Astyanax mexicanus: one gene and its partners. The protein of the gene in region 3 purifies or fractionates together with the protein of the main gene of each other region. This does not show direct contact. Links are inferred from orthologs where the notes say so. Each region holds a gene or a part of one and is shown on either strand. Other genes may lie near its edges. The genes, in order: exosc5, exosc4, mphosph6 and exosc2.

Region 1 (7,229 bases), on a different chromosome or scaffold from region 3:
TGAGCTTTTTAAACTGTACCGCGGAGCTTTTTAACTGTACTGCGGAGCTTTTTAACTGTACCGCGGAGCTTTTTTAAACTGAGCTGAGCTTTTTAACTGAGCTTTTTAACTGTACTGCGGAGCTTTTTAACTGTACCGCGGAGCTTTTTTAAACTGAGCTGAGCTTTTTAACTGAGCTTTTTAACTGTACCGCGGAGCTTTTAAACTACTGTTTTTTTCCCCCTGCGAGACAGGTTTAAGCTTGACGAGATCTCGTCACACCCCTAGAAAAAACATGGAAAACTGGTGAACCTTCCCAGGAGTGACCGGCCGACCGAACAAAATTACTCCAAAAGGGCATGAACAACTCATCCATGAGATCCCAAAAGAACCCAGAACAACATTTATCAATTAACATCATGATGCTCTTTAGGAAAAATTGTTTTTTCCTTTTTAAAATTATGGGTAAATATTATATTTTGACTGAAGAGACAAAAGTGGAACTTTTTGGAAGGTGTGTGTCCCGTTACATCTGGCATAAAACTATAATAAACACATAATTTCAGCAATAAAAGAACATTGCTCTCACTGAACGTAAAATGTAAAACATGGTGGTGGTAGTGTGTGCGTTATGATGGTCTGGAGCTGCCGGACTTTAACTTGCTGTAATAGATGGAAGCAGGAGTTCTGCTGTTTTTACCAGAAAATCCTGAAGGAGAATCAGAATCCGTCCATCTGTTCCTTACTGACCTCAAGCTCAGGAGTACTTGGGTTCTGCAGCAGGACAATGACCCAAAGCACACAAACAAAAAGTTCACCTCTGAATGGATTAAAAATAAATAAAAACTAAATGAAGGTTTAGGAGGGTCTAGTTAAAGTCTGATTGAGATGCTGTGGATGATCTTAAACAGTTTTAGACGTTTATGCTGGAAAATCCTCCAATGTGTCTGAATTAAAACTGTAATTCTGTAAAGAAGAGTGGAACTAAATTCCTCCAGAGATGAGAAAGACTCGTTACTAGTTATAAACAGGTGTGGATTTATAAAGGATACAGAGCCGTCGTCGTGCACCACCTGGAGGATGAGTGCGAGGGAGGACCGAGGATGAAGAGTGGACAGCAGGACAGCCTCACACGTTTCCCTCACACACTGCTCCCTCGCACGCTCCCGCACACCTACAGAACCGGGTTACAGAACCGGATTAGTGAACGTTCATCACACGCACAGATTTTCACTATTACATGACTACCACCCTGTGGTGAGAGGGGGTAACGCAACCAACAACAGGCTTTTAATCTAGAGGAATATTAAAGCATGATTAGTGTTATAAATAAATTAATATGTTCACTGTATTGTAATGAGAATTACATTAATTAAATAGGGCTCTAACAATAAATATTACTTTAACCTACTAGTAGACTCATGCTGCATTATTGTGCTCAGTTTTTCAGACATCAGGTATGTTTTGCACTTAGTTATACAATAAAATTCCAAAACAGGAGTGTGCACAATATATTAATGTGAACTAAAATGACAAAAACTGTTTATTAAATTTTTTACGTTTTACAGTTTTCTGTTTTACTTAATTTTATTGAAGCATTTTGAGCTGCGTTTTTTTTTGATGATATACAAGCAAAGTTTATTATATTATATATTATATTATAACTATTCCATTTTTTAATGCTTAATGATGACGGCTCTGCGCATTGACTAAATATTATATAATGCACAGAACATTTTAGAAGGTCCATTTTACATCAAATAAATAACTAGTTGTGAGTACAATTATGTTGTGCATTTTGGCAATATAGTGTATTATTAATTAATAAATTATTTTTTTATTTAGTATCTCTGAACACAGAGCTACTTACTTGACATGCCCACTTTAGGCTGGACAACCACCTCCAGAGTCGCTCTGTCATAGATCTCCTTATTCACTTTCACTTCAGCAGGTCCATAAACTCCTGCCAACACACTGGTGTCCCCTGTAAACACATATACCATTACAGAAACACACACACACACACACACACAAACACAAGATCAATACAGAACCCAGAAAAATCCTCCAGAAACCTGCAGAGTAGAGCCCCTTATAGAGTTCTGTAATGTCCAATAGAAACCTTCTAAATCCCTATGGATGCCCTGTAGAGTTCTGTAGTGCCCTATAGAAACCAAATAGAGCTTTGTAGTGCCCTATAGAAACCCTGTAGATTCATATGGAACCCCTGTAGAGCTCTGTGGTTGTCTATAAAAACCATATAGAGCTTTGTAGAGCCGTATTTAACCAATATAGAACTCTGCAGTGCCATATAGACCCAAGTTCTGTAGAGACGTTCAAAACACTGTAGAGTCCTGTGGAGGCCTATAGAAACCCTATAGAGCTCTGTAGTGCCCTACAGAAACCCTCTCTTTTATTAACTGTTATTTTAAGATTATTAAATGTAGTTATTATTTAATTTATCATCATGTTAATCCCTGTATTTGTGAATGCTACATTGAAAATGAGGGTTGCCCTTAATGTACTTCTGAGTGAAAATAACGGTTGATTGCCTAAATGACTAATTGATATATTGTCATGTGGACCCTATAGAACTCGTAGAGCTCGGCAGTGCCCTATAGAAATCGTGCAGAACACTGTAGAGTCATGTGCAGGCCTATAGAACACTAGAGTCCTTTGGAGCACTATATAACCCTATATAGCCATATAGAAACTCTGTAGATACCTACAGAACAGGGTAGAGTTCTGTGGAGCCCTATATAGTCAATATAGAGTCTTGTAAACAAGTGCACAACCCAGAGGAACCCATTTAGAACCCCATAGAACCCAATAGAACAGAGACAGTATATAGATAAATACCCTGTAGGAAGGTCGCTGATCCGTCCGGTTTGGACAGCAGGTTCTGTTCGCTCCCGTATTCCCTCAGAACCGAACCCGAACCCGTCTCTATCTGATCCATCACTGCCGAACCCTGCACCCCGCGATACTGCAGCACGCCGGCCCGTCGCCCGCTCACAGCGTCACTGTTTACCGCGCACTCTGATGACGCTTTAATAAGATAAAAGTCCTTAATCTACCGGTAAAAACAGTAAATCAGTTTACACTAGTTAAGCTAAAATATTCTGTATTTTATTAGGCATTTTATTTACAACGAATTTTCGTTTAAATAAGAAAGAGGATTGATTTGATTTGCAATAGTGTTTTGTAATTGAATTATTTTCTTAAAAATACTATAATACTCTAATATAGTATTTTTCCAAGGAACAAATATATAAATGTAAGTTAAATAAAACAGAAGGCGGTCATTTATTCATTATTTAACCATGCTATTTATATTTTATTAATAAAGTAATTTAAAATAATTCTTAATTTAATTAAAGGACACCGTTTTTTTTACAATCTTATGTACATGCTTCCTCTGTTATACATTTTTCTTGTATTTGGTTTTCCCATGTTTCCTAATTTATTTTATTATATGCTGATGTCATTTTTTTATTTGCAGCTTTAACCTTTATTATAAATAAATAAATAATAATAATAATAATAATAATAATAATAATAGTTTAATAATAAAAGTTTTAATAGAAACTGTTTAGTTATTTATACACCGTCACATATAACTTTTTACATGCTTCCGCTATTACACATTTTTCTTGCATTTTGTTGTTGTTTTTTAATTATAATAATTAATAATAATAATAATAACAATAATAATAATAACAATTATTATGATTATGATTATGATTATTATTATGATTATGATGATGATGATTATTATTATTATTATTATTATTATTATTATTATTATTATTAATAAATGAAACATTAGTTACATTATTATCATAAACAATATTGTTTTCTCATTTTAATTATTAATTAGCAATTTTATCTTTTTTTAATTTAGCTACATAATTTACTATATATATATTCTTTTTTGTTGTTTTTTAAGTGTGTTATTTCTTAGGGAATTAATGAATTTATAAGAGATGTGAAGAAATATTGAAAGTGAAATATTAGTTGTATTAAAATGCTGATTTTGTAATTGTGTGTATATATAATCAGTAATTTCTCAGTTATATTCATAGTGTATATACAGTGCGGTGTCTCCGCCGCTGCAGCAGGAGGCGCTGTGAGCGCGGTGCGGGAGGACAGTAAGGCTGAAACATGGCGGCGGTGCGGAGGCTGCAGAAATGGGTCGGACTCGGTTTTCACGCGTTTCGCCAAAATTCAGCATTAAACTCGGTCAGAGCCCTGCAGCGGAGAGCCTTCCGCACCCAGGTAACCTCACCTGCTCACCCGCACAGCGCGCGCTGCTCACCTGTACAGGTGTTCCTGTGGGTCTGATCTGAGCTGCAGCTTAAACAGTAGCATGTAATGCCCACCTGCAGATATATATTTAATATATAACCCTCAGCTAGAGCTTTATACTGTAATAAAGATATATAGCAGCACGTGAGGGGTTATTATCAGATGCAATATTATTATACAGGTGAATCTGATACAGGTAAACCAGCTGCTCACCTGGACTAAAAAAACAACACTGGCTTATATTGTTTAAAACACACATATAATACAAGCATATAAGCTACAGTATAGATAGATAAATACAGCTGTCCACAGACTCTGTAACGCTGTGGTTCTATATAACTTTATTTTAATATTTAATATATATGTTTTAATGTAACTTATATATTTAATAGTGTGTATGGTTGTGTGAAGCGTTAATAAACCGCATATTCAGCTGTTGTTAATAAGTTTAGTTATTAATAACTGGTTTATGCTGCTGATTTTGAGGTTAATATGAAGTTATTATATTATATTATATATTTTTTTACTGAAACCGGTCTATTTGTTTTGGCTGCGAGAACCTAGCCACCGCGCATGCGCATAACCTTCACGGCGCTGCGCCGTTTCCTTCGCTCTGATTGGTCCGCTCCGGGGGTGTGGAATATAACACGCTTCAAGGCGGGATATATATGTATATATATATGTATATATATATATACATATATATATATATATATATATATATATATGTATATATATATATATATATATATATATATATGTATATATATATACATATATATATATATATATATATATATATATATTATTTGATTTTTTTTTCTGTCTAACTTCTATATTATTATTTTTAAATTGTTAGTTATTATTTTGAGAGTAAGTATTTTTTGGTATACTATATATATATGGTATACAGGTGCTGGTCAACGAATTAGAATAATTTGAAATAGTGCAATCATGAAATTCTTTGAATGCATTTTTTGTGCAGAAAGCAAATCAGGTGTTCACCGCACCTGTCCTACTCGTTAGACTAATCACAGAACTCGTTACCTGGAAAAAAAATTGCTCAGCTGAGCTTTCCAAAAGGCCCATTTAGGCCATTTAACTGTGACACTGTTGTTTTATTGAATTAGAATAATGGAGAAACCGTTTCATTGAATTAGAATAAATGCTCGAATTTTTGTTTTCTGTGAAGAGTGTTCACTGTGCAGTATAAAGTCAGGGTTGAGTAGAATTTCTAAGTTGTAAAATCAATCATGGGTAAGCAGCGCGACCTCTCAACCGGAATAGTGGCTCAAATTCAAGCCCTTCGCCAACAAGGCTTGACCCAAACTAAAATTGCTGAGCAGCTCGGCATCAGCCAGTCTTCCGTCTGCAAAGCTCTCAAGAAAAACTGCAGCAAGCGCACCAACTGTTCCGGCGTCCGAAAAACTTCTGCTCTCGACAACAAGCAGCTGAGAAAGATCGCAGTCAGCAACCGGTTCAAGTCCACTTCCGAGCTCACCGACTTGTGGAACAAGCAGACCGGCGCTGACGTCTCCAGATCAACCACTTACCGTCGTCTGCGCGAACTCGGCTTCAAATCTCGCGTTCCAGCAGTAAAACCGATGCTGAACAAGAAACAAATGGAGAAACAGCTGAAGTGGGCCAAAGAACACGGCGAGTGGACTGCTGAAGACTGGCAGAAAGTGGTCTTCAGTGACGAATCACGCTTCTGCATCTCCTTCGGTGACCAAGGTCCTCGTGTCTGGCGTCGTGGTGGCAAAACCTACAACCACGAGTGCGTGAAAAGATCCGTCAAGTTTCCCCAGAGCGTTATGGTCTGGGGATGCATGTCCGCTCGAGGTGTAGGGAAACTCTGCTTCCTCAAGAAGACTGTCAATGCTGCCGTATATCAAGATGTTCTGGAAACGTTCCTGATTCCGACTGTTGAGGAACAGTTCGGCGAAGAAGACTTCATATTTCAACAGGATCTTGCACCGGCTCATGCGGCAAAGTCGACCAAAGATTGGTTCACTAAAAAACAGCTTGAAGTTTTGGCATGGCCGGCCAACTCGCCTGACCTCAATGTCATTGAAAACCTTTGGGCCATCGTCAAGCGGAAAATTCGCGACAGAAAGCCTACTACGCTGGACCAACTGAAGCAGAACATCGCCACTGCCTGGGAAGCTGTGAGTGCGGAAACTTGCGACAAGCTGGTCAAATCGATGCCGCGGAGACTTCAGGCAGTCATACAAGCCAAGGGGGCAGCCACAAAATACTGAGAAAGTGATGATTGTAATTATAATAAAAATTATTCTAATTCAATGAAACGGTTTCTCCATTATTCTAATTCAATAAAACAACAGTGTCACAGTTAAATGGCCTAAATGGGCCTTTTGGAAAGCTCAGCTGAGCAAATTTTTTTCCAGGTAACGAGTTCTGTGATTAGTCTAGCGAGTAGGACAGGTGCAGTGAACACCTGATTTGCTTTCTGCACAAAAAATGCATTCAAAGAATTTCATGATTGCACTATTTCAAATTATTCTAATTCGTTGACCAGCACCTGTATATAGTAATATAGTAAGTCATTTTGAGACAGTAAGTCATTATTTTGAGATAAATCATTATTTTGAAATAAATAATTATTTTGGGATAGTAAGTAAGGCATAGTAAATAATTATTTTGAGATATAGTAAGTCATTATTTTAGGATATTAAGTCGTTATTTTGAGATAATGTCTCGTTATTTTGAGATAGTAGGTAATTATTTTGAGATAGTACGTCATTTTGAGAGTTATTTTTAGATACTTTCTCATTATTTTAAGAAAGTACGTCGTTATTTTGAGATAGCAAGTTATTTTTAAACAGTAGGTTTATATTTTAACATAGTAAATTTGTTATTTTGAGATACTATCTCTTTGTCTTAAGATAGTAGGTAATTTATTTGAGATAGTAAGTCATTAT
Region 2 (7,712 bases), on a different chromosome or scaffold from region 3:
GAAACATGAGATCATTTTCACAGTTTCAAGTCCTAAAAGTAAATTATATTTTGTCATTTATTATTAAGGACCAATATTACATATTTGTGAGTGGCAAAAGTATGTGAACCTCTAGGATAAGCAGTTACTTTAAAGGTGAAATCAGGTGAGAGTGGGCAGAGCCTGTTCTATGTACAGAACTGGGATCTATTAACCTCTTGAGACCCAGTGTCCTCATATGTGGACATTACAGTTCTGCTTCTCTGCACCAAGCTTTTTTAAAACATTGACCCTTTGGCCTCATATGGAGACACTGCCCGTACCATAAAGTGGACTCAACATGACAACATTACACTAAATTGGTTGAAAACCAATCGGCGGGAAGCCCAGTCAAAGGTTTTTACAGCCATTCCAGACAGAAACATGGGCCAGGTAAAAATTATCCTCCACTTTTATGTTTGAAATTAGTTTATTCTATTTTTGTAGAAAGCTAACATTTAGCTGTTGCACTAATCTTGTCCTTCTGATCCCAAATTGAAAGGGTCTTTTTTAAATGTTAAAATTTAGCAAAAATGACTTCCTGTACAAGGACAAAGTTTAGTATTTATACTTTTTAGGTCCTAGTAATCCCAAATACCTAGGAGAAAGTAAAAAATGTCAGGCTTATGTCCAGGCCTCAGGAGGATATAGTCAGCTCTTCACATTACATGTTTGTGGAAGTGTATAGTGGTACGAACAAAGGAGATTCCTAAAGACCTCAGAAAAAGAGCTGTAGATGCTCATTAGTCTAGAAAAGTTACAAAACCACATCTAAAGAGGCTGGACTGCAGCAATCCACAGTAAAACAGATTATAGTGTACAAATGAAGGAAGTTCAAAACCATTGTTACTCTCCCCAAAAAATAGTCTACCAACAAAGACCACTCCAAGAGGTCACAAAGGACCCCAAGATAACTCCTAAGAAACCGAAGGCCTCTCTCATGTTGACTCATGTTTAACTGAATGGTGCAGATAAATTACTGCCTCATAAATGAGGAGCAAATAACACAATATGATATATCTCCTGAACCAGGAATGAACACCAATGACGTTAGTCACGCGATTTGACCAGCTCAACCAAGGTTCCTTTAATCGTGATCCAGGTGCCCCACTGTCCTGCAAATGTACTGCTTTCCCGGTTCCCTTCCCTCGACTCTTTTAGATGTGCAGTGGGTGTGTTGTATTTATTTAGCCATGTTGGGTAGTAGAAGCTGAAGCAGGAAATGTACCGTACTTTAACGTAGATGTCGATCTGGGAGCGTGGGTAGAGCTGGGTGAGGACAGCAGCCTCGAAGGTCTGTTTCAGATGGAGACTCATCTCACTGGACTTGCGGTCGCCGTGCGGCCGGCGCTTCCTCTCCGCAGTGCTGAACGTGGCCATGCTGTACTGGCAGTTGATGACGGCGCGGTCGTGCAGGGTCCTGCTGCGGGACCCTCTGACCTGTAAGTACACACTGATCAATACATGTTACATGTAGGAGACCCTACACACACATCTCACAGTTCAGTGCAGTGTCATTTAGCTTCCATTTTTTGTTGATTTTTAGTTTAATTTATAATTTTAGCACACACACTGTCTTCTACACTGCATCAAAAATCCTTGAAGAATGAATTAATAGAAAGTCTCGTAAAATACCTGAAATAAATTATTTTACATTACCAAGTGAACCTGGCTGCACTACTACAATGGGTCAAAACTGGTCAAGCTACATTAAAATTAATTGATTTAAGCTAATTCTTTATTATTATTATTATTTTAATTAGTTTCAACAGGTATATTTATTTAAAAAAAGAAAAGACAGTTCAAAGCTGTGACCAGTCTATGTAAAGACCAGTTAGCTAAATAAATGTGAAACCATAAAATGTAAAGCCAAAATATGTGAAAAGTTTTGGTAGAAAAACTTGGTTAAAAATTAAAATGTAAAGTAAATAAATGTTACATTTATTTCTAGTTACACTGGGGGTGTCTAGTAGAGCTGCAACGATTAGTTGATATAATCGACAATGTCGATTATTTATATTTGTCGACTACAAATTTCATTGTGGACTAATCTACTAAAAATTAGTACTTTCCACATTTAAACAACATTTGAATGTTTATATATCTTTTAGATCTCATACTCAGCTGTTTCTATAATTAAATATAATATATAGTTATAAAATAAGACAGAGAATGTGGCAGAAATAATCGTTGACTAATCGAAAAAATAATCATCAGATTAGTCGACTACCAAAATAATCATCAGTTGCAGCCCTACTGTCTAGTCCCTCTTAGGTATAAAGCTATAAATGTGTAATCAGAATTCCCATGTTGATGCATCCCTATAACATGTGTCTATACAAATATTAGACCGCCTTCTAAAGGTGACATGAGGGGTCCTGAGTATTAGAGGACAATAATAAAGTATACAATGAAACAGGTACAGAACTACAGTCTGTAATTATAGAACTACAAAATGCTATATATTGTATAAACAGTGGAGCTGCAAAAATGGACAGTTTTTTGTGCAGAAACAAAAAGGTGGTCATAATCTCATAATGTTATGCTTGGTTGGTGTAGGTGCACTATATCTATATGGACAGAAGTGTTGGGACTCCAGCACATTACAATTAAAGCACTATAACTGCAATTCCATCTTTAGTTATTATAATATAAAGTTTAGTACAGTACTGTTCTATTTACTCTATACCCCCTTTCCCCTGCTGTAAGTTACCCCCCCGGGCTGTAGTTACCCCTGCCCCGGGCACTCCTCACCTCGTGCGGGCCGTACACCACCGCCAGCGCCTTGGTGTTTCCCTGCTCCAGGTAGGCCGACCCGTCCGCCTGAGCGAACACCCCCATCCGGGCCTGCAGCTTCCGCAGCTCCGCCGCCCTGCGCCCGTCCAGCCGGTACCCCTGATCCGACAGCAGCTCCAGACCCGCCATGATCACTCCCGCACACACAACACGTGTTCCCGCACTACGGGTCCCCGCACAGCCCAAAACACCGACTACTGACCGCACACCGAACGCCCCCTGCCGGCCGAGCTCCCCCTTACCATATATATGTACATATATATAAAAAGTAAAAGTACATATTTAACGTAAATCAAAATTTTAACAAATGTGTACAGTTTTTAGCACATTATTTTACCAAACTATATATAAATGGCAAGTAGGCTGCACTGTCAATGTTCTCCAATTTATAAAAGATAGATATATAATATAAATATCACAATTTATGTTTAATTTAAGCTGCATACATTCTACATAAAAAAAATATAAATATGAAACAATCAAGAGAAAAACAAACAAACAAGAAATTGTATATGTATGCAACCTTGCTCATAAATATTTTCCTTAAAAAAAAAAAAAAAAAAAAAAACATCTGGGTTGCTTGCACAGTATGTTTTGGGTCATTCCAGTCAGTTTTGTTGCATTTGGCTGAATCTGAGCTAAAAATAAAAACCCTGTAACTTCAGAACTCCTCATTCTGCTTGTCTTCCGTCACACCAAAATCAATATTTGGTGGAATAACCCTGGTTTTTATTCACAGTTTTCATGCATCTTGGCATGTTCTCCTCCACTAGTCTTACACACTGCTTTTGGATAACTTTATGCTGCTTTACTCCTGGTGCAAAAATTCAAGCAGTTCAGTTTGGTTTGATGGCTTGTGATCATCCATCTTCCTCTTGATTCTTGGAAAAGATATTTTCAGAAAATTTTAATATGAATAATTATTATTCTGAGAAATAAATTAATAAAGTTTTGTCTTTAGTCATGCTGGGAAGTCAACAGTAAATCACAATGAAAACATTTTTTTTTTTTTTTTTTTATCCTTGGCTCAAACTGCATTATCCACCCAAAGTGCACATTACTGTTATTAGAACATAGAGACGTCAGAATAAAACATACCATGCAATTTTAAAAATAAAATTTATTAGCATCTCTAATGTGTATAAATAAAAACAGAGATAAGAAACAAATGCATGTACGCATTATGAGCAGAACAAGAAGAACTGAATTATGTGATACAGAGGAGCCGAGGCCGACTGAGGCCCCAGTCAGGTTTTTATAATCCTTTCTTCAGAACGTTAAGTGTGTCTGTGAGAATGTACCTCAGAAAATCAGGCTTCGCAAACCATACGAATCCCTACGAGCTGCAGCTCTACATTCTGTCAGCAGAAAGAAATGAGGACTGAGGTTCAGCAGCAGAATCAGGGGCACACTGGGGTGCAGTGGTGGGGGGCAATTAAATTGAACAGTTTTAGAGTTTAGGTTTTGGACGAACTCTAAAAAAACACAAAACCACAGGTTTTACACTGACATGCCAAAAGTCAGGGGATAGCATTATGTAAAATAATGCTTTGAAAATGCCCACAAATTAATAAATAAAAAAAAATGTCCATTCAAACAGACTTAAATTGACTCCAGCAGAAATCACATTCACATTCGATTCAGAAGACCCCACACACATATCCCACAGTTCGGAGTAGTTTTGGACAGGTCAAAAGTCATGGGAATATTATTTACCATTCCATTACACTTGGCATGTCAGTGTAAATCAATAATCACTATCCAAGAAACAAAGCACATCTCCAAAACATCGACTTAACAGAAGAAGGAAAAACTTTAGTCCTACTTTGTAATAAGTGTCTCTAATACCTGTGTGGTTACACATTAACAACCATGTAATAATAATGATAAAAGATTAATTGCAGTTGTACAGGTTATGTAATTACATGTATATCAGTGCCAGTTAGACATAGATTAATATTTTGTCCTACTGTCCTTAAATTAATCTAATTAATGATATTGGAAATGTTGGAAAACTGGTGTATTTGATGTGGTGCAGTGGATAACACCACCACCTGCCACTGAGCTACCATGTAGGAGACTGGGGTTCAATTCCAGGTCTGGGTGACTATGCTGTGCTACACCAATAAGTCCTTGGGCAAGACTCCTAACACTACATTGGTCCACCTCCAACTTCACTCCGGATAAAAGAATCCGCTAAAGGCCATAAATGTAAAACGAGTTACACATAAATAGTAATTAAATTACTAATTACCAGACAATACCTGGAGAAATATAAATATATTCACATATTCCAAACACATTATCACATGTGATAATTTACACAAATTATGACATGTAATTTCACTTGCCCTATTAAAACACAAATTGTAAAAAAATGACTATAAACACACATCCAGTTACATAACCGGTACAAATATAATAATTCTGTACCGTTTTGTGGTACAGAGTGTGTGGTTACATAGTATGATATTCCATAACTGTTAATGTGTAACTACATGTGTAATGTGTAACACTTATTATAAAGAGATGCCAAAACATTTCTTAGCTTTTAATGAAAGTCAGTGTAACAGCATTTCATTCTAACCCATTTGGCGCAATTCTATTGGTCCGTTTATCATGGAGGGTTCACACAATGTAAAGGTATACAAGAAAAAGCTGCCGGTTCCAAACAATGCAAAAAAAATAGTATATAAGATTTTGTTTTTTGGACAGTGATTTGTAGGTTTTAAACTTGTTTAGCATTTTTTTTCTCCAAATAATCAGATCTTTAAAAGTGATTAAACATTGTTTTTTTTGTGTAATACCATTAAAATGCTAGTATAAAGAACCATTCTGAGATCTGTTTTTATCCACCAAAAATGGTTCTTTGATTCATCAGGAAGCAAAAGTGGTTCTTTTATGGTATTGCACAAAAAAAGTCAGTAAAATTATTAATTTAAAACTTTAAATAAATATATTCCTAGTAATGCTGTAGTAATCCAATCAGATATTTAGATATCATGTATTCATCTTAAACCCTGTTTACACCTGGTCACATCATGTGGCGAGTATCCAACACCTACAAGTGCATTTATTACATTATTTTAAATAACTAAGTTTGAAATGTGAAACTCATATATTATATAGACGTATTACACACAGAGTGATCTATTTTAATCATTTATTTCTTGTTTTGTTGATGAGAATGTCTTACAGCCAAAGAAAACCCAAAATTCAGTATCTCAGAAAATTGGAATATTATATAAGACCAACTGGTACTTTTGGCAGTGTGCAAAGTCCTGCTGGAAAACGAAATCCAAATCTTACAGCACTGCATGGTTTCCCCTCTGCTGATGCTTTTATGGAGGTGCAGATTTTATTTTCCAGCAGGACTTGGCACACTGCCCAATAAGATCAACTGGTCTTGTATAATATTCTAATTTTCTGAGATAGAAGTGTTGGAAGTGTTTCTGAAGTGGTTTGAGTTATACGATTTGTATCTGTTTATAGTTTGCTTGTGTCCAGATATAATTCTAATATTTAAATTCTATGAAATGACCAGGTGTAAACAGTCTTTCTGTGCATTAACTTAAACAGTCTCCTTCTTTTAAAGTAAAACGAATTAGTACAATACTTATATGACTCCAATATAACAGGGTATCTCTAATTATGTTGGCTCAGTAGTGTTTGGCTTTCTAAGGCAAACATGGAAGTAGACCTGCCACGATAATCACAATTACTGACTTATCAATGTATTATTACATGGAAATTACCTCAAAACATATTGCATACTGTAATATGGTCCATTACCTTTACTTGTGTGTTTGCTGTGTTTGTTGAAGAATGAACACAAACAGAAATTGAGCCAGCTTTAACTTTTAACTTAAAATCTGGAAGATCTCCAAATCTATTAAGAATTATTAATAAATAGTTCTATTGCAATGTTATGATATAATATCCATATATCAGTGGCATATGGTAGTCTGAAAATTCCAACAATATAGTTTAGCTCAATTACTTTCAACAATATAGAACAATTAAGCATACCATTATGACCACAACTTGTTTCTACACCTATTATCCATCTTATCAGCTCCACTAATCAAACAGGACACTTTGTAGTTCTATAATAATTACAGACTGTATTTCTGTTATTTAATACTCAGAACCCACACAAAAGAAAACCACCACAGAGCAGCTATTATTATTAGTATTATTATTATTATTATTTGGGTGGTGGGTCATTATTATTCTCAGCACTGCAGTGATTAGCGCTGATTAGCATGGTGGTGGTAGTGTATGAGGCATTAGTAGTGCGTGTTGTGTTGGTACAGTGAGTAAATCAGATGCAGCAGTGCTGCTGGAGTTTTTAAACATCTCAATGCAGTCATCTTCTTGTGAACACTGATGAACCACTAGATAAAAACCAACACTGTAAACTGTGTAGCAACAGCTTCAGAGCTTCTGTCTCTGACTTTACTTTATCTAGAAGGTGGAGCAGCTGTAGGCAAGTGTGTGAACAGAATGTTTAAAAACTCAAGCAGCACTGCTGCTGTACCTGATCCACTCACTGTACCATCAGCACAACACACACTACTAACACCTCATACACCACCTTCACCATGCTAATCAGTGCTAATCACTGCAGTGCTGAGAAAAATCAATGCACAATACACAATTAATAATAGTAATAGCTGATCTGTGGTGTTTTTCTCTACTGTAGGGTCCTGCGTATTGAAGAACAGGTTAAAAAGAGGTGTATAAAGTGTCCTATATGATCATGGGAGCTGTAAAAAACCAAGAAGGTAGTCATAATTATATAATATATGTTTGATTTGTGTGTTATCATGACAGGCCTACATAACTTTTCCACCTCCCACTGCCACCCACAGCTCTATAGTTTTGGTCAGATCTGA
Region 3 (7,966 bases):
TCATCATCCTCCTCCTCTTTGGGAGCATTCATTAGAACCATCAGCTTCTGCAGAGCATTTGATATCAAACAATAATTAAAACATTTAATAAAAGTGTAAAATTCATATGTAAAATATAAGTGGGGGGAAATGTACACACAGTTTACCTCAACTTCAGGATTGAAACCCCTAAATGACATTCTTCCATAAACCAAGTCTTCACATGGCACATAACTCCTTTCTTCAACAATGCAGCTTCTGAATAAGTAGAAAATACAGGTAAAGTTAGAGGAGAAGGCTTGTTGTCAAAGTTACTTCTAATCGACCAGCAGGAGGTGGGGGTTGGGGAGGGAAGGAATAGTGCTTTTTTTTTCTTCCCTAAACATTCATATCTGGAACCCAAAATAAATTGCACCCTTGTGCAGTAGTATCTAATTGTGATTTAATTAAAATAGTCTCCACTGACACCAGCAAAAGCAGGCACACAAAACTTAGCTTGCTAGATAAATGTGTGACTAGAATAGCAAAGCTAAAGTAAATTAATGATTAAAATAGCACTACTGTCGTAAACGTATTATACTTTGTTGATGTGTCAGCTAGGGGACAAAAATGTTAGCTGTAAAATAGAAAATATTTTAAAGTATATTTTTGTTATTATTTTTTTTGTCTTTAAAAAGCAACATATACATTTAGGCTGTGATCTATATAGTAGAGAAAAAAATCAGTTTATTCCCTTTTTAATTTTAGACAAACTTTTTTTTGTGCATCCCTAAAGCATGTGTTTAGGTCTGGCAGTGCTTTTGACATTGAAATGTTAAATTTGTACAGGTTATGTTATCAAAATGACCTACTCTTCCAAGTTTAGATGATAAACTGATTAATTTCAGATAATCTATTAAATGATTAACAGTAAAGAATACCAGTATAGATTATCAGTGGTGATGGACCTTATGGGCTTCAGTCTATGTTCTGAAATGTATATGCTGCTCCTCGCTTTTGATTGTGCAGAGCATTTACATGGTTCAGGTGTGGCAGAGGAGGGCCATGAGTTGGTTTATTCATAGGAACTTTAAATATAATTATCCCTATCTCAAAAATAAAACATCAACTGCATAAGTAAGGCATGTATGGAAAAGTCAAAAGGAAAGCTTACTCTTTGGCTTTAAGCTCAGGCAGGTCCAGATACCAGTGCTCATCACTAATAATTCTCTTCTCATCTTCCTCCAACTGTTTCCTTGCCTCAGCATCAAGGCCTCTTTGCATAAACTGTGGGGACATAAAGCAAAATTATTTAAGAGATACAAAAAATAATCTGTAATTCTGCTGTTTACACCTATAGGCTTGCAAAGTGGACAGAGAGGTTGACTGCATCAACAGTTAATGTATTAATCTGAATGTTAACAAAATTGAATTTTAAAGGAAACACGTGTTAGCTAACTAATATTATTTTAATATTAATACCACACCAGCCACAAACATTTTCTTTTATGGGCAGAAGTGAGGTATTAAGTACTATAGGGCTGGGAGATTAATCAGATTAACTGAATTAGCGTTTGAATACGATTTTTCAAAATGGGATCATCAAGATTGTACACCTTTATATGAAGACATTTCAGTAGACAGACATTTGCTTCTGTCAGAAACTTGTAACTCTTATACTGCAGTCATTTTAATGTTTCAGACTTTTCTGTAACTGGAATACAAGCATGTTATGTTTGTACAGTGTTTAACATACAACTCTGGAAAAACAAATTAAGAGACCACCTAAAAAGGATAAATTTCTTAGATTTTACCGAATTACAAACCTCTGAAATATAATCAAGAGGAAGATGGGTGATCACAAGCCATCAAACCAAGCTGAACTGCTTGAATGTTTGCACCAGGAGTGCCATAAAGTTATCCAAAAGCGGTGTGTAAGACTGGTGGAGGAGAACATGCCAAGATGCATTTGGTTATTCCACCAAATATTGATTTCTGAACTATTAAAACTTTATGAATATGAAATTGTTTTCTTTGTATTATTTGAGGTCTGAAAGCTCTGCATTTTTTGTTATTTCAGCCATTTCTCATTTTCTGCTAAGAAGGTTTTCCATAGTTTATAGAATAAAACAACAAAGTTCATTTTACTCATTTATACCTATAAATAGCAAAATCAGAGAAATTCATTTAAAAACGGAAAAAGCTGTAAACCTACATGTTATGTTGAAGGAGGATGTTTAATATTAAACAAAAATAATAATACAAACGAAACTGAAATTAAATGTAAGTTCAAGGACACAATGGATTATGCAACACTTTAAATAGTGCTGTCTGCTTAAAATGAAAAATAACTAAAAATCATAACCGAGAATACCTTATAAATTTGAAAAATATAGATTTTTCCAGACCTAAAGTACTATATAGCTACGTTAATGTCACTTGTCCGTGCCATCCCATGGGCTTAACTAAAATAGTTTTCCCTTACGAGGAAAAGCATGGCAAAAGTAAGCCCAAGCCAAGAATGTATCTGCACAACTGTGGAGGAATATAATTTAGCTTAGCTTTTGTGTTTTATTACTTTTCTTTATGACTTTATTTTAATCATTTGCTTTATTTGAATATTTAGCACGATTGTGTTTGGGATAAAATGGAAATAGCACTGCTAGTTAAATGATAAGCGAAGTTTTGAACGACAAGAAATGCTGTTTCTTTTGTTTAGGGAGTTGTTATACATATTGAAAGTCTCATTAAAGGACATTAAATGGGAATAAGTGAGTTTTGGTGGTTAAACCAGGGCTTCTTCTGGTCAGTGAGGATCCACAGCTAACAGCACTCACCTTCATCCGCAGCAGGTTTTTAGATAACTTCGCTGAACCGTCGTTTGCCATTGTAATATTCTTGATTATGTTGTTGTTGTTGTTTAGCTCGGCTTCACTGCAAGGTCAGGTTTTATCAGTCAGTGTAAAAATCTTCAGGCTCTGATCTGTTTACTCCGCTAAGCTAACCGCTCTCATCTCAACACGCTGGATATAAATATGTGCGCATGCTCAGGACTGCAAAGAGACACGGTTAATCGCACGGTCGAGCCTGAAGCGACTAATCATGTCTGATCTCGAGTTCGTGAGCTACAGCACGTTTTTGGTTCACCCAAAGCCAAATACTATTCAATTAATAACTATTTTTGTTGAAGCAATGGCAGGAACACTTACTCTCCTTTCGTATTTCCCTGTTAAGTAAAACAAAAAAATATTAAGCAAAAAATAATAAAATAAAAAGTAAAATAAATACATAAATAAAAACAGAAATTAAGATGTAAATAAATTTTCAAGGCTGCATATCATGAAATATGAAATACTGGTCCATGCTCCATTGTAAATATCCTCATAATCAGTCATGTACACTATTTTATTTTTATTTTTTCTTGAAAATGTGAAAAAAGACTCAAGAACAACTTGCCTGTTTCAAATAGTCTACGCTGGTTTTAGAGAAGCTGGTTTTCAAGGTGAAAATTGAATAAAAAACAAGTCAAAAGTATTATTTTCTACATTATAGATTTATTTTGAAGACTTCAAAGATTAAAGAAACACATACCCCATCAAGAAAATTGTTAAACATGACAAAATATATTTTATACTTAATCAAAGCAGCACCTTTTGATTTTTTGGGTGTGTTGGGCCAAACACTTTTTTGTCTACTACCTAACTACATATGGCTTCCCTCATATTTTTATCATAGTTTTTATGCTTTAATATGAATCTACAATGTAGTAAATAATACAAATAAACAACAAATATTAATACGAATGTGTATCCACACTTTTGAATGGTACTCTATGTATGTATGTATGTATGTATGTATGTATGTATGTCTGTGTGTTACCCAGCTCTTGACCAGTGTATGCCGCCTTTGATTTTGTTCTTGCTGGTCACACAAGTCTAAGCTGTTCACACTTGGTTATACTGATGTTCTAGCTTTTTTAAGTTGATCATGCTTTGAAGACTAGCTGTTTATTAAGCCAAAAACATACTGTTTGATGGTCAACCGTCTTGGACTGGCCGTCAGACAGTATGGAAAATTCCCAAATCTTTCCATCTTTTTGATACCTGAAATGTACATGTACATAATTGAGCATGGCGCTACCAATTAAACTTTAACTTAACTTAAAGTAAAAAAAAAAAAATCTGTTTTTTATCAATAGCAAGTGATTTTATGATTATATCCAAGTTTAGTCTATAACCTTGTTGACTCTGACCTTGTATTTATATAAATAACAATATATAACAAAGTATAAAAGTCATAAGCACACTATAAAAATAAAATAAATCTTTGATCAGAAAATAAGAGACTATGAGTGATAAATAACTGCTATATGCAGAAACATCAAAAAATCTATTTGTGTGGTATGAGCAGTTGATTTGAGCAATGATCCCTTGTTGCTTTGAATAATTAATAACTAATTAATAATGATAAAAACCTTTTAATCTTTTCTGGCTCCCCCAAACTTCATATTCTGTAGATTTTGTATCTCAAGAAAAACACAAAAATATACAAAGTGAAAGTCAGTATCAATAGCATTTTTTTCCATTATAAATCTTTGGAATCATGTAAACTCTTGCACCACAAGCTCTTTTAGTGACACTAGTGATATTTGTTCACGTGGTGAGTTTTGAACTTTAATAAGTTCTGCTTGTAGCTGGGCCACGGGTTGCTCCATCTTATACCCAAGATCCACCATGGCTTCCAGCAGAGGGGCTCGATACTTGCTTAGGCCGTAGCGTCTCACTGCTGGCAGTGCCCTGTGGCCAGTCTTAAAAGCAGCATGAAAATCCTGCAGGTCCCTCTGGCATACCACCAGTGCACACAGGGTAGGCACCAGCAGAGTGGCATCATGGGTGGACAGCTTTTCTTGGAGCACTAAAGCGCTCTGTAGGATCTCAAGGGCTTGGGAGAAGCGACCTCCCCGGAGCAGATCATGGGCAGCCTTCAGCTCAGAGTGGGTGAAGAATGCTATGAAAGCAGGTGAGCGGCGGATATAGCGCAGGGAGTAGAGCTGGGTCAGGTAATCACACAGGGCCACACGTCTCTCAGCAATGTTCTCCTCTGAGAAGTTTCCCACCAGTTTCTTCCTGGGAAGGGAGATGTCTTCTAGTTCCTCGCTGAAGTCCTGAAGCAGCTGATGGTGGAGATGGAGGAAGTCTGAGTAGCGACGTTCAATGGCCACCCGCTCACCGTCATAACTGCCTGATCTGATCACCACTATTTTGTACACCTGTGATAAACAGTATAGATTAAGTAAGTCCAAAACATTTGAGTCACTATTTCTTATTAATTATCTAAACTTGATCGTGACACTATCAGAACTATTCATTTTTCCGAGCTGGCAACAAAAAGCACAGTTGTAGAGCGGTAGGTAATTATTAATTATTAAGGTATTATTAATTATTAAGTAGGTAATTATTGATGCTTTTCCCCAACAGTGTTCATACACAATATTGCCTAAAGTATTTGCTCACTCATTAAAAATAATTAAACTCCCGTTCCAATCACTTCCATGGCCACAGGTGTATAAAACCAAGTACATAGGCATGCAGACTGCTTCTACAAACATTAGTGAAAGAATGGGTTGCTGTCAGGAGATCAGTGAATTCCAGCGTTATATCGTGATAGGATTTCCAGTCGTGAAATTTCCTCGCTACTTAATATTCCTCAGTAAACTGTCAGTCTTATAATAGCAAAAAGAAAGAGACTGGGAATAAAAACGGCTCGCTCTGTTAATGTAAAATGACAGAGCGGAGTCAGCAGATGCTAACGTGCTTAGGGTGCAGAGGTCACTAACTTTCAATCACTACAGATCTCCAAAATTCATGTGGCCTTTAGATTAGCTCAAGAACAGTAGAGTGCAGAGAGCTTCCTATTATGGGTTTCCATGACAGAGCAGCTCCATTCAAGCCTTACATCACTAATAAGGCAGGTGAGTAGATACTTTTGACAATATAGTGTATTAACTTGACAAAATTGTGCAGGCTACAGATATGTACTATATAGCCAAAGAAATGCTGCCATTATTATTTTTAAAAAGAATTGTTTTAAAGACAAGAAACTCTTTCATAAACAATTATTAATTAAAATTAATTTTTAGAAGGGAGTAATTACATTATTACATCATATTATCAGGGGCATAAAATGATAATATAATTATCGTCCAAAGAAAATTGTAATTGTGACAGGCCAACTTTACAGGGGTTTATTAATTTACAATTTGCTGCACTTCATCGAAGTAAACAAGACTTTACACTAAACAAGAATTACACTAATTGCATTTATGATATTAAAACATGCCTTTGTTTAATGTTTGACATAACCTATGATATTTCAAGAAAAATATACTTTATATCACAATACCCAAATTGATCAAGATACAATAAAATATTGTTTTATTTCCCACCCCTAATATAAAATGTGTCCTTAATAATAAAATAAGAAAAAATCATCATAGTCTCTTTCACTTACCACATATCTAGAGGTGGCTTGCTCGATGGTGCGTGTAGAGGGGATCTCAAACAGCAGTTTAATACATCTGATCTCCTGTTTCACGGCCCTCCAGTGCTGCTGAAGCTCCGCTGTGGTCAGACAGGAGGCACTGAAGCCTGGAGATGCCTCCAGACCTATGACAAAACAGAAATTTGAATGAATGAAGTCCAAAATTTAACTCACAATTACATACTATAGAAAACAACACTAACCAGTATCAACTGATGTTTCTTGATGATGCTCAGACTCTTTAGGATGAGTGGTGCTGGTTCCTCTTTCATCACCAGTCCTCAGGTCTAGTAGACGGGCCTCTGAAGAATCCATGCTCAATTCACCAGACAGTGACTTGAGTGACCGGAGCTGCACTCTGCACAGAAGATGAAGAAAACATGATTAAAATGGATCTATGTCTGTGGGGTGACAGACTGCACTTCCTTGTCAGGAAGCTAAAATTGGCTGTGTTGGAGGAAGTGGCCTGAGAGCAGGACGCAGAAGCAGGCAGAAGACGACACAAATGGAAACCCACCATTTGTAACCGCACAGAGGGAGTTCAATAGTTCCACAACAACAAAAATAGGTGGCATTTTAGATAAAAAATTCTCATTACCTGTGTGTAGAAATGTTGGCTCATGCCCATGGTGACTGCTTCCCTCATTCTGTAGGCCCCAAGAGTCCCCTGCTGCAGTTACTACATCTACATAAAATGACTCATATAAACCCACATTTCACAAAATTACAATTGTTATACTATATGTATATAATGTCTACTAGACAAGTCCTTGTGTAAAGCTTAAATGTCTCCTTGGCAAATGCTGAAATTAGGCATGAAACCTAACTGAAAGGAGGAACTGAAACCTAAAAGAGGGAGTGTCTGTGCTCTTCTCAGCTTTCACAAATCACTCCATATATCACACACTGGTTTGCATACAAAAAAACTCCACAGTGTCAAAATTAGGACAAAAACATAAGTAAAATGAGAGATTTGTGGTACTACATTGATTTATTTATTATCTCTGTTTTAAACTCAGATTATCACTGCTGTCCACTAGATGGGGATGTTTACAGTAATTTTCCTCACAAGCGAAGTTCAGATAAGCATCTGTCTAGAAAGGCCTTCACTGTAAACACATGCAGACACGTGTGTGCGGTTCTTCACATTAGTAGTAGAAGCAGATTGGGCTGTTGACAGATGAATATTGCTCAATCCATTATCGTTATACAGTCTTTTATTAAGCGTTTTAAAGACAAGAAAATATCTCCTAAACAAATATTCATTAATATTATGCTCTTAAAAATGAAATTACATACCAGTGGCATCATTTATCATATTTTTTTTTCTGAGACTATTTATCACCCCCCAAAAAATATATTGTGACAGGCCTACTTTACAGTGATTTACTAATCTAAAATTAGCCTGCTGCTCATTCCCTAATGTTAACCCCTGAGATGGCCAGTACGCAACAGTGAGCGATCGGTG
Region 4 (7,267 bases), on a different chromosome or scaffold from region 3:
ATCCCACATGAAGTTTAAACAGTCATATGCTAAGGTTTATCACCTCTGGGCAAATTCTTCCCAATTTACAAAGAAAATCATATATATATATATATATATATATATATATATATATATATATATATATATATATATATATATATATATATAAGAAAAGATAATACTTTATTACTCAGACACCAGGGAAATGACAAACTTCTGCAAATGATCACATGCTGTAATTATTCCACGAGGTTTAAACAGTCATATGCCAAAGTTTTATCACGTCTGGGCAAAATAGGGTACATTTAGTAGATTTCATGCAAAAAAATCTTATTTATTAAAATCTGCAACTTTACAGGAGAGGGTAAATCCTTATTAACCTACAAACAAAATCATATATAAAAAGATGTTGTCTAATTTAAAGTTTTTTATTAATCAGCCACCAGGGAAATCATCACATGCTGTAATTATTCCACGTGAAGTTTAAACAGTCATATGCTAAAATTTTATCCCCTCTGGGCAAAGTACTGTACATGGAAAATAATGGATTTTATGCCAAAAAAATCTCAGCTCAAAAAACTAAATAAAAAACTTCAACTCTACAGTAGAAGGAACATTCTTCTTATCATACAATGAAAATCATGTATTAAACACCTTTGTTCCTAATAAAAAAAGTAATTTAATAATATAAGATAAGCCTTTATTAATCACACAGTGGTAATATTTGCAATGTTACAGAAGTGCAGAAAACAATTAATACTGAAGACATCAGAACTTTAAAGGAACACCTTTTAAACTTTGAAACGATTTAGTGTCGGAATTTCACATATGAAGGAATGTTAAATAAAGGTGGTTTTAATGCAACCAAAAATGTATGTTTATTTAATGTTCCTTGTATCAGGGCTGGTTTACAAGTGGAGGCCACATCTATGTTCAATACATACCAGGTGCTGGTCAACGAATTAGAATAATTTGAAATAGTGAAATCATGACATTTTTTGAATGCATTTTTTGTGCAGAAAGCAAATCAGGTGTTCACCGCACCTGTCCTACTCGTTAGACTAATCACAGAACTCGTTACCTGGAAAAAAATTTGCTCAGCTGAGCTTTCCAAAAGGCCCATTTAGGCCATTTAACTGTGACACTGTTGTTTTATTGAATTAGAATAATGGACAAACCGTTTCATTGAATTAGAATAAATGCTCGAATTTTTGTTTTCTGTGAAGAGTGTTCACTGTGCAGTATAAAGTCAGGGTTGAGTAGAATTTCTAAGTTGTAAAATCAATCATGGGTAAGCAGCGTGACCTCTCAACCGGAATAGTGGCTCAAATTCAAGCCCTTCGCCAACAAGGCTTGACCCAAACTAAAATTGCTGAGCAGCTCGGCATCAGCCAGTCTTCCGTCTGCAAAGCTCTCAAGAAAAACTGCAGCAAGCGCACCAACTGTTCCGGCGTCCGAAAAACTTCTGCTCGCGACAACAAGCAGCTGAGAAAGATCGCAGTCAGCAACCGGTTCAAGTCCACTCCCGAGCTCACCGACTTGTGGAACAAGCAGACCGGCGCTGACGTCTCCAGATCAACCACTTACCGTCGTCTGCGCGAACTCGGCTTCAAATCTCGCGTTCCAGCAGTAAAACTGATGCTGAACAAGAAACAAATGGAGAAACGGCTGAAGTGGGCCAAAGAACACGGCGAGTGGACTGCTGAAGACTGGCAGAAAGTGGTCTTCAGTGACGAATCACGCTTCTGCATCTCCTTCGGTGACCAAGGTCCTCGTGTCTGGCGTCGTGGTGGCGAAACCTACAACCACGAGTGCGTGAAAAGATCCGTCAAGTTTCCCCAGAGCGTTATGGTCTGGGGATGCATGTCCGCTCGAGGTGTAGGGAAACTCTGCTTCCTCAAGAAGACTGTCAATGCTGCCGTATATCAAGATGTTCTGGAAACGTTCCTGATTCCGACTGTTGAGGAACAGTTCGGCGAAGAAGACTTCATATTTCAACAGGATCTTGCACCGGCTCATGCGGCAAAGTCGACCAAAGATTGGTTCACTAAAAAACAGCTTGAAGTTTTGGCATGGCCGGCCAACTCGCCTGACCTCAATGTCATTGAAAACCTTTGGGCCATTGTCAAGCGGAAAATTCGCGACAGAAAGCCTACTACGCTGGACCAACTGAAGCAGAACATCGCCACTGCCTGGGAAGCTGTGAGTGCGGAAACTTGCGACAAGCTGGTCAAATCGATGCCGCGGAGACTTCAGGCAGTCATACAAGCCAAGGGGGCAGCCACAAAATACTGAGAAAGTGATGATTGTAATTATAATAAAAATTATTCTAATTCAATGAAACGGTTTGTCCATTATTCTAATTCAATAAAACAACAGTGCCACAGTTAAATGGCCTAAATGGGCCTTTTGGAAAGCTCAGCTGAGCAAATTTTTTTCCAGGTAACGAGTTCTGTGATTAGTCTATCGAGTAGGACAGGTGCGGTGAACACCTGATTTGCTTTCTGCACAAAAAATGCATTCAAAAAATTTCATGATTGCACTATTTCAAATTATTCTAATTCGTTGACCAGCACCTGTATATGGTGAATATGGTGCTGTTTTTACCTTTATTTATCTTTTATTATTTTATTATTATACAATCTATATTTTGTTGTAAAAAGGTTTTAAATAATTGTAATGCTTGTAAATGCTTTTAGGAATATAATAATCTTATCTGTATTACTTTTTAAAGCAATAGTTTGTCAGTGCATTAGCTGCTGTGCTGTGACATATGTTGATGTAAAAAGGGCTATGAAATTAATTTATTTGAAAACAGACTCAGTTTGCCAGACAGGGGTTAAGCCTAGTGTTTGATTATAGAACGTTTTAAATTTAAATGTTCTGCTAAATGCTTACTGACTCAGTTTAACACATGTTGGGGGAAACACAGCTCTACAGCCCCCTCTAGCGCCACACAGAAAAATCACGTTTTAAGACAGGACAGTGTATTTGGATAGTGAATGTGTCCTTTGTGTACATTATAATGTAAAGGGTAAAGGACACTTGCTTCTCATTATATGTGTCTACACTATATATATATATATATATATATATATATATATATATATATATATATATATATATATATATATATATATATATATATATATATATAAATAAAAACATTAAATGAGAACGAGTGACCAAATATATGAATGGTACTGTAGTATAAGTTGCATACAGTTGTACAGGTATGTGTGCTCTGTTTATTTCAATAGGGTTTATATAAGCTGAAGTGTTTTTCTTTCTTGTTATGGGTTTGTGTTTAAACCCAAAAACATTTTTTTTGACTTTTAATGATTGTTTAGAAATAATTTTTAATTTTGAGATCTGTAGCTAGAATTGTACACTGCACTCTGTGGGGGCACCAAAGCCTAAAGTGCCTTCCACTGTTACACCCACCTCCCCAAGCACAGATTCTATTATTCACGTGGGCTGAATGTTAATATATAAGTGCTTGGCCTTAATTTGGCCTCTTTTAAATAGTCTTAGACATTGATTTGAGATATTTTTTTGTAATTTTGCAGGCTGCCAATTGTTTTTACACAGTATGCCCTTTCAGAAAATCTGTAGATTACATTTTACTATTAGGGTACTTATAGTGCACTTTTAGTGCATTATTAGTGTACAGTACAAGTCAAAAGTTTGGACACACCTTCACATTCGATGTTTTTCTTTATTTAATGTATTATCTACATTGTAGATTAATATTAAAGACATGAAAACAATTAAAGGGCACGTATGGAATTATGTAGTTAATAAAAAAATTGTTTGTCCTCCACAATCCCCTCATCTAAACGTGATTAACTGAGATGGTGATTTTGGATGAGCTGCCTGGAGCTTTAGCAAATATTGTTCAGCGTCGTTAGGAACTCTTTTAACACGCTGAGAAAACAATTTCAAGTGACTCTACGTCATGAAGATACTGAGATTAAAATATTAAGAGTGTGCAGATCTGTCCTCAAAGCATTTTCTGGTTTGTTTAACACTTTTTGGTTTCCAGAATAATTCTGCATGTGTTCCTGTATAGCTTTAAATTGTCTTCAATATTACAATTTTACAAAAAAAAAAAGGTGTGTCCACATGTTAGACTGGTCATGTATTTTGTGCTAAAATGCTGTTGGTTTTGGTATTAGTCCTCGTAGCTTGTGCTTGTTCTATGGTTTCTGGCGGAGTCCCTCTTTATACCAGCAGTGGCCACACGTGGCAGGAGTCTCCCAGTCTGTAGATGTTGGTGTTTCAGAGAAGAAGAGCTCAGCCATTTTAGAAAACACAGCTCTGTGGGACAGCATGGCTGTGGATATGAGATTACCCACTGCCCGAAAACTCATCTCCCTGCCCGGCTCTCTGTCTAACGCTGAGGGTAAACACCTGGTGGTCCCGGGAGATGTGATCACATCTGATACAGGGTTTATGAGGTAAATATGCGCTTAAACAAACCTGCAGGAGGACCACAGGTCTGATCTGACTAGCCTGCTATCCCTACATTAACTAACCTAACCAGGCTAAATTAACTAATATCTGTGTTTTTGCTTCGGTGTCACTGTCTGTTCACCAGCTAAGAGTTAAGATAAGTAACGTGTGTGGCCTGTACCAGTAGCTCGACTGAGAAACACAAACATTTATTTTGTGTATGGGTTCAGTGTTGGCCCCACATATGGATGTTAGTTAGTGATGGGACCAGGCAGGAGGGGATTGGTCAGTGTAAGTTAACGTTTAGCAGTTTAATTTTCTGACCGTATCAAGCTAAATTCAAAAATACAAAATTGAGTATAAAACCTTTTTTTCCATTTAGCATAGTGAAGAAGAAATGTGTTTTGGTCAGTGTTACGTTTATTAGTTAAATTTTCTGACCGTTATAGGCTAAATGCAAAAAAATAGAAAATTGCAAGTAAGAACTCATTAATTCTTTTTTTTAAGTGTAGTGTACAAGAAATAAGTTTTCATACATTTTTCCAATGTTAGTTTTTTAATCTTTGCCCCTTACAATTATAATTTCAGGAAAAAAAAATCTTTTATTTTTAATTTTTTGCATTTTGCAAGTTGGATTATAACATCAGATTTGTGTTACATGATACAAAAATGGACAAATCTGAAAATCGAGAGAAGATTTAACTTTTTATTTTCTTGAAATTCTGTTTGCGAAAGGCTGAAATAAAAAAAAACTCAATAATTGAAAAATGGGATGCAAATCTATTTCTTTTCAGCAAATTAAATTGCTAAACGTTACACTGACCTATTTTTATCTTTTTTTTTCAATTATCTTGTTTTTGTTTTGGCTTTTTCACAACTGTACATTTTATTACAGAGAGTGTTAATAATGTAAAAATAAAAAAAATGTTAAAATCCTGTTTATTAGATGATGTGCCGCAAAAGCAAAAAAAAATCTATTCAATTGAATTATGTGCAACAAAAATTACTGTATTATGCATGAAAGATTATCTGAACAGCAGAATCTTTCTCTGCTGATGCATTTTGTCTGCCTGTTAAAATATGATTATTACTGTTTTTTGTAATACAATATTTTTATTTTTTATTTAAACAGTGTCAGTATATCACCATGCTTACTTTATTGCAATATATTAATGATATTCAGTGATATTGAATCATAACCCCTAGATCAGGCCTGGGCTTTTTAAGGCTGGGGTAGTGGGCCTTTTCATACAAAGCCCTTCACTTATTACGCATCAGTACTGCTTGGGTGGTAAAAACAATAAGAACAACAATAACCCATTTTTTAACCCCCGGTCCACTTTTTAACGCATGTGAATGCATACTTTTTTACGTAAATGTTATGTACTTAATTTCTCACTTCCTGTCTTCAGGGGTCATGGAACCTACATGGATGATGAGAAGCTCACAGCCTCAGTGGCTGGGGAGGTTGAACGTGTCAACAAGCTGATCTGTGTGAAGCCACTGAAGACACGGTCAGTGGTCTTCTGAATGCTGTGTCTAAAACATTACAATTAACATGTATAAGATTTAATATTCTTTGGGTGTTTTTTACAGGTTCAATGGTGAAGTTGGTGATGTGGTGGTTGGCAGGATAACAGAGGTACTATGTTTATGTTTAGAGTTCTCAAAATTCTTACATTCTTTCATACATTTTTAGAAGCACTGTAATTTTAAAATTAGTCATAAGCCTCATCCCTCACAGAAATAAGCAACATTCTTCTCAATCATCTTTACCTATTCTTTCACTGTAGGTTCAGCAGAAACGTTGGAAAGTGGAGACCAACTCTCGGTTGGACTCTGTATTGCTTCTGTCCTCAGTAAATCTTCCAGGAGGAGAGTTGGTGAGCTTAAATACTGATTTAATAATGTTTTTATATAAAAATATTGCATTGTTGTTTGAGTTGCGTTGAGCTGTAATAAATACTGTAAACCCTATTTATTCACAGAGGAGGCGATCAGCAGAAGATGAGCTCACCATGAGAGATTATCTTCAAGAAGGGGACCTCATCAGTGTATCCTGAAAGTAGTGATTGTTTTAAAATAGTGAAATTATGTAATTAAATAAGACTGTGTTATTTTTGATTATGTAGAAAATTTAACTTAACTTGTTCAAGGCAGAGGTACAGTCCGTCTTTTCAGATGGAGCTCTTTCGCTTCACACCCGCAGCTTGAAGTATGGCAAGGTACGAACAACAATTCTTCAGTATGATTTTATGAAACTCAACTGAGAAATATTGATTGAAAAAAATATTGATTTTATAATTTATTGTTTGCTCAAGTCAGTGTAATTGTAGGTACTGTTGAGAGCTTACTTTCATTTTGATAAAAGAAAAATGGACATTAATGCAAAGTTAAAATTTACAGCTCAGGTGCCCATTTATGAATGTAGCTTTAGCTTTTAGAAGAAGTTAATTGACAGGTATATGTTTACCTATTTAAAAAGAAGGTTTAAAATGCATCTTAATATTTGCGACAGTGATATTTCAGTTTACTTGGCCTGATTTGTGTTTTTCCATTCTTAGTTGGGACAGGGTGTACTGGTGCAAGTATCACCATCTCTTGTGAAGAGACAGAAAACCCATTTCCACAATCTGCCCTGTGGAGCTTCCATAATCCTGGGGAACAATGGCTTCCTTTGGCTGTACCCTACACCAGGGCATCAAGATGAAGAGGCAGGAGGATACTACACAAGCCTGGAGGTCAGGAGAACATGATTTTATTAATGGTTGAAAACATAATTTTTTTTCAGCATGTTTTATACTGTGTTTAGAAGTCCATCTGTGTTCAG

What was found.
Region 1: the proteins of mphosph6 (region 3) and exosc5 purify together in Homo sapiens (affinity purification with mass spectrometry; 6 studies listed by BioGRID and IntAct, with this or other methods). This does not show direct contact. The link is inferred for Astyanax mexicanus from reciprocal best matches to the Homo sapiens genes MPHOSPH6 and EXOSC5.
Region 2: the proteins of mphosph6 (region 3) and exosc4 purify together in Homo sapiens (affinity purification with mass spectrometry; 7 studies listed by BioGRID and IntAct, with this or other methods). This does not show direct contact. The link is inferred for Astyanax mexicanus from reciprocal best matches to the Homo sapiens genes MPHOSPH6 and EXOSC4.
Region 4: the proteins of mphosph6 (region 3) and exosc2 purify together in Homo sapiens (affinity purification with mass spectrometry; 8 studies listed by BioGRID and IntAct, with this or other methods). This does not show direct contact. The link is inferred for Astyanax mexicanus from reciprocal best matches to the Homo sapiens genes MPHOSPH6 and EXOSC2.

Annotation. Positions count from the first base shown.
Region 1 is NC_064416.1:2,328,493-2,335,721, forward strand, and holds the start of exosc5 (exosome complex component RRP46), read right to left. Parts: upstream 3,019-7,229; 5' UTR 2,939-3,018; coding exon 2,839-2,938; intron 1,964-2,838; coding exon 1,850-1,963; intron 1,154-1,849; coding exon 1,032-1,153; intron 41-1,031; exon of another isoform or gene 1-40. Other genes in the region: bckdha (2-oxoisovalerate dehydrogenase subunit alpha, mitochondrial), read left to right, coding at 4,144-4,257. UniProt on the Homo sapiens protein: Non-catalytic component of the RNA exosome complex which has 3'->5' exoribonuclease activity and participates in a multitude of cellular RNA processing and degradation events.
Region 2 is NC_064415.1:9,898,935-9,906,646, forward strand, and holds the start of exosc4 (exosome complex component RRP41), read right to left. Parts: upstream 3,004-7,712; 5' UTR 2,944-3,003; coding exon 2,773-2,943; intron 1,459-2,772; coding exon 1,252-1,458; intron 1-1,251. UniProt on the Homo sapiens protein: Non-catalytic component of the RNA exosome complex which has 3'->5' exoribonuclease activity and participates in a multitude of cellular RNA processing and degradation events.
Region 3 is NC_064409.1:59,103,899-59,111,864, reverse strand, and holds the start of mphosph6 (M-phase phosphoprotein 6), read right to left. Parts: upstream 3,009-7,966; 5' UTR 2,847-3,008; coding exon 2,796-2,846; intron 1,246-2,795; coding exon 1,133-1,245; intron 238-1,132; coding exon 147-237; intron 48-146; coding exon 1-47. Other genes in the region: snx20 (sorting nexin-20), read right to left, coding at 4,559-5,227, 6,469-6,623, 6,702-6,813. UniProt on the Homo sapiens protein: RNA-binding protein that associates with the RNA exosome complex. Involved in the 3'-processing of the 7S pre-RNA to the mature 5.8S rRNA and play a role in recruiting the RNA exosome complex to pre-rRNA; this function may include C1D.
Region 4 is NC_064408.1:20,987,628-20,994,894, reverse strand, and holds the start of exosc2 (exosome complex component RRP4), read left to right. Parts: upstream 1-4,248; 5' UTR 4,249-4,314; coding exon 4,315-4,442; intron 4,443-5,849; coding exon 5,850-5,951; intron 5,952-6,033; coding exon 6,034-6,079; intron 6,080-6,230; coding exon 6,231-6,320; intron 6,321-6,425; coding exon 6,426-6,491; intron 6,492-6,593; coding exon 6,594-6,662; intron 6,663-7,001; coding exon 7,002-7,178; intron 7,179-7,267. UniProt on the Homo sapiens protein: Non-catalytic component of the RNA exosome complex which has 3'->5' exoribonuclease activity and participates in a multitude of cellular RNA processing and degradation events.